Drosophila melanogaster: one gene and its partner. The gene in region 1 interacts genetically with each later gene. Each region holds a gene or a part of one and is shown on either strand. Other genes may lie near its edges.

Region 1 (4,962 bases):
TAATTATCGACGGCAACAAAGATGCAAAATTAACGTAAATCAACCGAATATTGCAATTTTCGCAACAGAAATCGAATGATAAATAAAAAAAAATTAAGAGTTAAATGCTTGCTGAGCTCATTATTTGCGAAATGGAATTTATTAACGACTTTTATTTGCTCGAGCATTAACAAATAAATACTGTGGATACATCATTTATTAATTTACATAATTAATGCCTTACTTATAAGTACATAGAACTCTCCCTTGAACCTAAAAAATAATGTTCAATGTCTAGAAAAGTTAAGTAAGTTATCTGACATGGCAATCTTGATTCGATAAGAAGTGAAACATATATAAAAACTGAGTATTAATAAAGTTCGAGATTGATAGCAACATTGATAGTAAATCAGCATTCACGATGTTTAGGCAAGTTTTCAAAATTTTCATGAAGAAAGCTGATGTGAAAATGTTGAAGTCCTATAAAAATTAGCCTATTGATATTACCAGGCAAATAATTGCGTAGTTCATTTGATGTATTTGCTTTAGTTAGTATGTAGAAAATGTTTAGCGTCTCCATTCAAGTTGCTTTGTGTGTGTACTTAGCCCACTTGTATTGAACTTACTCATCGCACAATGTCGACAATATCGCAAGTATTTCACACAATTTCACACGATTCGCAGACAGATAGTGGTATAGTGGTAAATATACAAATATAGAGGGAGTTACGAGTAACTCTCAATGGGGCAGCAAATACAAGTGGGAGGCATTTCGAAATACTCCAAAATAAGTGGGGCCAGGGTCAGGGGTGTAGTATGTAATATATATATATATATCTGAATAAAACTCACCTCGCTGCAGATTGTGTACTTAATTTAGGCGATGAGTTGCCAGCAGCAGAAACAGAAACATTGACCTCGGAACACTTTTCGACATTCGCCTTCGATGATGATTAAGTACTCGAATGCTTTTCGATTACACGCGTTAATTTCACGAAAATATAGTTTAATGGACTTCTTTTTACAGATTTTCGGTTAAAATAGTTGTGGATTATACAGTTTTTAAAATAATATACAGTAGATATTGGTTTGTCTTCATTTGGTTGTCGAGTTTACTTTGTAGTTAAGGTGTTATAACTGTGCTGTTTTCAATGTTGGAATATTTAATATTTTCAATGCTAGTTTTATATTTAATTAATAAGTCAATTTTGCGGATATTTGCTGTACATTAAAATATACATATTTCATATTTATATATTACATGTTTACTTGCGCATTTTATTGCTTTCCCTAAACAGGTAAAAATTCCAGGAAAATAAACAATTTTTGGTGGCTCAGTTGTGGATGTTTATAGACTTGATTTCAATAATCGCATATTTACACTTCTGAATTTTCGTTTCTGATAAATATTTACGCGATATCTTGAAATCGCCGAAAGTGTAACAACATTTCGACGACCTACAAATCCGGGTGAAATAAAAATGATTCAATTTAGTGGGTTAGTCGCAGCGACTAAATGAAAAGCACCCCGCGATTGAGGTGTAAAATGAGGTAATTTCGAATTTAAAAACCCGGAGACCAGGTAAAAAAAAGTAAAAAAAAAAAAAAAACAAAACAAAACAGGTTTTTAGCGATGATAACAAGATGGAACTAAAAAAAAGGGGAGAGAAAAGGGAAAAACCGGAAAGCTAGACGCGATAAAAAAAATGCTAGTCAAGAAAGCGAAAAGCAGCAACTAACTGTATTCCTATAGAGCATATTTTTAAGGAAATCAACCCAAGCACATGTGGTTTTAAAGGCGACAAACAAACAAACATACGTACACAACCACATGCATCATCTGTTTGTAAAATATTCAATGGAATCCAGTCACGACCCGCCGACGCAAAGACAATTTGCAAAGACAGTCTCGCAATCGCAAAGGCAGAACGACGGCAAATGCAGCGGAAACACAATCGAAAGAGCAATAAAAACTATGCCGACACAAAACCAATTAAATATAGTTGCAGTTAATTAATTATAAACCGTTTGGCGAAACGAAAATAAAACACTGGTGGGCATTATTGATATTTTTAAATTTTTTGGCGTCACTGACACAATTCGCGCTCTCTCGCTCTCTTTTATTTGCCTTTTCTTTTGTTGCTTTGCATGTGTGTTGTGTTTCCCTTGATTTTTTTTTATTGTTTTGTCTTGTTTGTTGCTTCTTTTTATGCTTCTCTCTCTTTGGCAGGAAGAACGAGAAACAAACTCAAAATTCTCTGAATATTTCTTTCATTCGGATTTTTTGTGCTGAGCTGCTGAGCAAAGAAAAAACAACAACAACAAACGCCAACGCGCCTTCTCACACAAGCACAATCAGACTCGCACACACATGCACAGTTCAAATTAGTTGGGGCAACAACAATAAGCGATGACTATTGTTATTTAAACACGGCTGCTTTTTTCTCTCTGCTCATCGCTGCAAAAGCCACGCGACAATTGTTATGTTTCAACTGCATTTGGGGAAATAATACTTTAAGAACGGTACATAAAAAAACATTTAAATCAGCACAGTTTCGCGAAGCAAAGGCAATTACAAAACCAAACACTTGAGGGCGCCGCGACGTGTGGAAAAGAGACGGCAGAGCCAAAGACAAAGACAGCTGAGAAATACGTGGAAGCGGTGATTTTCGATTTGTTTTGCTTTTGCTTTTGAACGTCAATTCTTCAATCTATATTTTTACACACAACAATATTTTAAAAACGTTTATATTAATAGTTGTTTTTGAACACATTTAGCGCCAAAATCTCTTCATATTTTCCCGGCGATTTATCGGATTTACCGATGTATTTTCAACACAAGTGCGAATCTTTTATTTTTTTTATAGGATAACCAAAATAATTTACCAATGTTTTTCGTCTTTAAATATTTGAACTTTTAGGGAAACAGCGTGCGCATTCAGCGCTCTCCCGAATTTAATTGAAATGCGCGCCTCCGGTGCGAAAATTGGAGTGAACCCGACGCAAAGTTGAAATGAAAACAAACTGACGACGGTGTGTCCGAATTTCGGGTGTGTTAAAACACTTCTGCAATGCTAACAGAGCTCTGTAATGTGGATTGTTCTACTGTTGCCATACGGTCACACACTTTTAAGCCGCTCAAGTGCTTGTGACACCACTACATTTGATATATAAATTAATATGCTTCTAAAGAGCTTAATTAATCATAAACTAGTTCATCTCTGGAATTTTGTGCTTATTGTTTGCCCTAACAATTCAGACTTTTGAAATCTTAAAACCCAATTCCTTCCATTGTACTGGACTCCACAATGTAGTGTCGTAGCGGTATAAGTATGATCTCTCTGTTAAGCGCAGCAACAAGGTGGCAGCGCTTGCACTTCCGCTAACGTTAAAAGTTTGAACAACCCGGCAAAATATTTTAAATAATTTAAATAAATAAATAATAATTAAATAATTTAATAAATAAAACACAAAGCCTTTCATCAATTTTAAAGAGCTGCCTATATTATTTTGCTAGATTTTGCTTGTGCTTTTGTAGTAAAACAGAAAGATCGTTAATGAGGAATATGAAAGTGTTTTTACTAAATACAACTTTACCAGAATCTTTGGCATAAAGCCAAAATAATACTTAATATGAAATATGTTCTTATCAAACTTGCAAATTCAATTTTCCCGCCAAATGTAAAGTGTGACCAGTTACAAGTACCAGTCCTTGTGAGCCTCTGGTTTTTTATTAGCTAAAAGCGGCGGGCACTCCGCAACTCAGCTGATCGATCAAACAAAAAATATTGATACACAGGAATTTATGAAAAAAAATGCGCAGCGTTTAGAAAGGAGAAAGTATTTAGTAGCACGCACGAAATGGACAAGAATCTGGATGAGGTTTGTGTTTGTACTCTCCTTTTTTTATATTCAGCCCCCTAAAACCGAATGGACTGTGTGTTTTGACTGCTGTTTACTGATACACGCCCCAATTTTTCATCGCCCAGGTCAAAGACACCGTACAAAAGAAGTTCAATGAAATCCGTGCTGCGTTGCATATGCGCGAGAAGTTGCTGCTCCGGCAACTGGAGGTCATAGCGAACACGCGACAGCAGCAGCAGCTGCTGAAGAAGTCGCCCACCGAAATGGAGAACTCGAACTCGGTTGGCAAGAAAGATCAAAGTGGTGTGCGTTTCATTCCCGGGGAAAGCGAGGATGCGGAGGAGAAACTACTGACAGCCATCCGAAGCTACGGACACTTTCTGCTGGACAACAGTGATATGCAGTTGGCGCTGCAGGATTACCGCACCACGGGTTTGAGGAACGAGGACTACATAGAGCCACTAGATGACCACGAGACCATGTACAAGTGCCTGCAGGATGGGCAAGTATCGTATCTCGATCTGGACGAAGACGGTGCCCCACCAGAGGCCATTGTGGTCGACTTCTCTCGCAACAGAAGTCTCGTCGAAGATAATGCCAAGCGCTCCATTATCAACATTACACTGCAGGAGGCAAAGGATCTGATAAAAAAGGCCAAGATCAAGAGGGATACATATGTGCCGCCCTTAAACTTGGAGGAGCTGGATGACGAGTTGGAATCTTCGATTGCCGAAGCCGTTTCCAGCTTGGGGCGAGAAACCTCTGCCAAATCAAAGAGCAGCGTACAAGAACCACCGAAATGCAAGGGTCGCAAACAGCGCTTCAAGCCAAAAATCACAATCAACAATTGCAATGGCACGATCAATCTGCGCAACATAGCCAGCCTGACCATCAACTGCGCCAGCGAAGAGGCGGTGAGTGCAGAGATGCCCCTGGCCAAGTCCGCCGATTCCAGTACCACCGAACCCTCGAACTCCACGCCCACCACCACCGCCTCCAGTTCCAATTACTCCAGTAATGCCAGCTCCCGTTCGCAGTCCAAAAAGCAAAAGGCGAACAAAAAGCTGGACAAGATAGAGCGTGAACCCAGCTCGGATTCCACTCCTACGCCTGGACAGG
Region 2 (4,062 bases), on another chromosome or scaffold:
ATGATGAGTGTGCTGGGCGAGGAGCACCCACTCGATTCGCCCACCCAACCACCTCCTGCCCCGCCCACTGGCCGCCCCTTTTTGTGAATGGCATCCGAGGAGTGGAGGACTGCGCAGAATCCTCTCTATCGATTAAAGCCCAACGCAGACAGCTCTCTCTAATAAAACTTGGGATAGGGCATGGGGATGGGTTTCTGGGATGTGCGATGTGGGCTGTGGGATGGATGATGTGATGCGGATGTGGAATCAACTGCGTAGTAGTCAAAAGTCAAGTTGAAGGGGGTCTTTTGGGGGTGTGGCACCTGCTGCTGATGCTGCCACGCCACTGCTGCTGGTGGGATAATGTTCGAGATGCTTAATGCGCAATTTAGTTTGGGGTATGTGCACATGGGGATACGACGAAGTGTAGGTCAGTTTGGACACTTTCTCTCTTTGGACCCATCCTCTCTTGCTGAGACTCTTTGTTTCCTTGCCCTTTCCATCGAAATTCTCTCGCTGAATTATAATCGAAAATTGCATGCGAAAGTTTTATCCTTGGCACCAAAATAGTGCATTGGCCCCTCTTTTTTCAATGCTGTCCAATAGCGCAAGTGACGCTCGCTAAGAATGACGAGGTCTCAGTGGGGCAGAGGGTTTTAAATGCACTCTGAATTAAATGTATATATTATGTTTATACTACTAAAAGTATTGCTTAAAAAATCCAGATATCTCTAACCTATTATGTTCTATTACATTACAAAATTCACATATATTTGGACTTTTAGTTACATCACTATAATACAATATAAAGTTTTAAATAGAGCTCAGTAGACTTTGGATATACAGCCATTACTATCTAGTAAAGTAACACCTTCCAAACACAATTCATAGCGCCTGGAGCTAACTCAAATCTATCATTCGTTCACATTTTGTATACGACTAAAATGGTGGTTGTACAGGGAATGTACGAAGTCACGGAGCTGGTGGCTGGCAGCGTGGGATGCGTGTGTCTATACATCGCCGGATGCAATGTGCTGCCCATGGAGCATATTCCCGATCTTCCGTCGGCGCTGTTCGTCCTGACCGCCGTGCTTTTTCTCCATCATCTGAGGGTAATGAATTGCGCACCGCTGCAGAAGCTTTGGCTTTTGCTGCTGGAACTGTTGGTCTTCTATATGTGCACCCAGGTCGTGGTGCTTGTGTGGCTCCAGTTGCTCAGCCATATGAATAAACTGCGGGACAATGCAGTTAATACTCGTACCGGCATGTACCTTTTTGAAGCCTATCCAAAAGTCTTTATGTTTTTGCGCCAAGATGTCTACTATTTGGGGCAGCTTATCATGTCCGTGGCGTGCACCTACAAGGCGATAATGGTCACTCATGCCCTGGACTACGCCCTACCAAATCGCCGGACGTACAGATACTATGAGACAGATGAGAACTTAGGCGATGGTCCGCGGCGTCCTACCCGAAAGAGCAACCAGCGATCAACACCCAAGAAGAGCACCGTGCGTGGTCGCAAAAAATAGAAGCTGTCGCAGAAACTGGATCAATCAAATCGCCCAATCTAAACACAGTTTTTCTATGCTTTCGATCATTGAATTAGCCCACAAAACACGCGTAATAAATTATCAAGGTAAACGGCGGCCCGGGTGCATTGCACCCAAATCGAAGGTGCTGCTCAAGAGCAGTTTACGCTTTACTAGAAATTTGCATGCTTGAAAGAGCAGAGCCAACACGTACACACAAAACCAACTTATTTTCAAATTTTGGCGCCTCGCGACAATCGATTAACGGACAACATCATCAAGATCAGCCAATCGTATGAATTCCACCTCTAACACCAGAGAATATTGAGAAGAAGAAGAGCGTTGTGTCGGATCTAAACAATAAAGAAATTAAGCAATTAGCCGAAATTTTGTTGTTTTTCGGTTGAAGGGGGTTTAATTCCGAGTGGGGGGAAGAGATGGCATTTCTTTGCCCCGTGCGCATGAGGCGCGACAAGAAGAAAGGTGTGTTCATAGAAAGCGGAAGAAGCAGCACGGAAACAAAAGACTTCAATCACGAACTTGTTGTAGGAACTTAAAAAAATTGAAATTGTTTAAATCTGTTTATTGGTGCATTTATTTTGTATATCAATGTACAAGAATTCTTTTTGAATTAAATATTTGTATTCAAGTTTTTTTTCTTGAAACTATATTATGATTGAATGCATAAGATATACATTTTATTTTAAATTTAATTAAATACGACATATATTGTACCTAAATAAGCATTTTCAAAATACTCCCTTTTCAGCTACAAATGCCAGCATTGAGAGGGACTTACCAGCTGTGGGTGTATTGGGCATGGGCCGCATAACTGGTTCCTCCAGCATTGAAACACTTGTAAGAGTGGGCATTGAAAAGGAACACGGTCTAAGGTAAGTCGATCCCATCCATTATCAGTTTAAATAGTCTGTACAATATTAATTCTATTTTAGTCCTGATTCCAAGATGGTTGTGCTGCACGACTTTACTCCTTGCGTGGATGATGAACTAGAGGTGAAGCGTGGACAGCTGGTTAATATCTTGTACAGAGAGAACGATTGGGTCTACGTGATTGGTCAGGACTCTAGGCAGGAGGGTTTCATACCCTTCTCTTATTGTGCTCCCTGCAACACGCAACTGGCGGATTTGGCTGTTAAGAAGAAACTGCCAAGGGAACAGTGTCCAGAGCAGCCGATCGAAGAGAATATACCACTTTTGGGCACGGATAACAAGCTGGATGTTCTTTGCGATGAAACCTTGAATCCTGGCTCCGCCAACAGCATAGAGAACACCCTGCTGGTGGAGCCAGAGTGTACTCCTTTCGTGAAGGAACCCTCCGGGCGCTGTATCGTCTTGTACACCTTTATAGCCAGGGACGAGAATGATTTGTCTGTGGAACGGGGTGAATTTGTTACCGTGCTAAATCGCGAGGATCCCGATTGGTTTTGGATAATGCGCAGTGATGGCCAGGAAGGATTTGTGCCAGCCAGCTTTATTTATCCTGCAGACAGTGTACGAGTTTTGCAGCAACAGAAAGCCACTTTAAATGCCATGGAGACCATTTTGCAGCAGGGTCAACAAGGTCAGCAGAGCCAGCAACAGCAGCAGCCTCAATTGGGCTTGGGAACAGATGATCTACGCTACCATGGCACGGAGCTGGTGATGCTGTATGATTACAAAGCGCAAGCTCCAGACGATCTGTACCTTTCTGTGCGGAGAGGAGATTGGATTTACGCAGACTTAACCAATCAGACTGTTGATGGCTGGCTTTGGGCTTATGCTCCGAAAACCCGCAAATATGGATTCATCCCGAAAGCCTATGCCCGACCACCCGCGATGACCAGCCTTTAAGAAATAGATTCAATACCATAATCGTTTTAATTATCACTTCGACTAACACTAAAGCGTAATATTCGTAAGTCTTCCAAACACAGTCGAATTGCATTTCGAAAAGCGTTTCTTTGTGGCTTGGATATTTTTATCTTGAACACTAAATTAATTTTCAACTCATAAATGCCATTTTCATTGAGTAATAAATTGTGCCTTAGATTTATTTTGTATGTGAGTTTGCATAACATATCGTATACACTTAGTCTAGTGATTTCATTCTTAACTGTAAGTGCCTCGTAAACGAATATCAAAAATATCTACTATCGTATTCCATATAGTACCAGCGTGGGCAGCACTTTGCTAGCATCTAGGTCTAGATATGAATACTAAAGCACTGTAGGGGCCAACCCCTCGATATGCACTTGGTTTGTATTATTGTATTGGATTTGCATCCAAGCGGCGCAGTTGCGTAGAGTTATGCTCAGCATAATGTTGTACGCACACGCACGTCCAACTGGATTTTGGTTATCACCTCCGATTGGCGAAGGTCTACTTTATTCCCAAACTGTCGCTAGCTGAGGAGCAGTGCGAGCAATTAAGCTCCATATTTCTGTAGAGAGAGATTGGCTAATGAGATTTTTGCATTTGTAAAAGAAATTGTTATCCTACTTCATAGCTTCTCTCAGCTGCTCCTTCTCGTTCATCTCCTCGCGCAGTTTCTGCT

Evidence for each region. A genetic interaction does not mean that the proteins touch.
Region 2: of app (region 1) and Dlish, changing one enhances a phenotype caused by changing the other (phenotypic enhancement), as found in Drosophila melanogaster (one study listed by BioGRID).

What each region holds. Positions count from the first base shown.
Region 1 is NT_037436.4:12,263,790-12,268,751, forward strand, and holds the start of app (approximated), read right to left. Parts: upstream 3,053-4,962; 5' UTR 2,866-3,052; intron 1,958-2,865; exon of another isoform or gene 1,803-1,957; intron 1,122-1,802; 5' UTR 832-1,121; intron 1-831. Other genes in the region: CG32100 (uncharacterized protein), read left to right, coding at 3,841-3,861, 3,969-4,962. UniProt on the Drosophila melanogaster protein: Palmitoylates Dlish which is required for the apical cell cortex localization, total cellular level and full activity of dachs.
Region 2 is NT_033778.4:17,721,495-17,725,556, forward strand, and holds Dlish (dachs ligand with SH3s), read left to right. Parts: upstream 1-1,814; 5' UTR 1,815-1,945; coding exon 1,946-1,991; intron 1,992-2,277; coding exon 2,278-2,401; intron 2,402-2,461; coding exon 2,462-3,359; 3' UTR 3,360-3,562; downstream 3,563-4,062. Other genes in the region: CG10934 (uncharacterized protein), read left to right, coding at 924-1,508; Snx16 (sorting nexin 16), read right to left, coding at 3,888-3,948, 4,008-4,062. UniProt on the Drosophila melanogaster protein: Required for the apical cell cortex localization, total cellular level and full activity of dachs.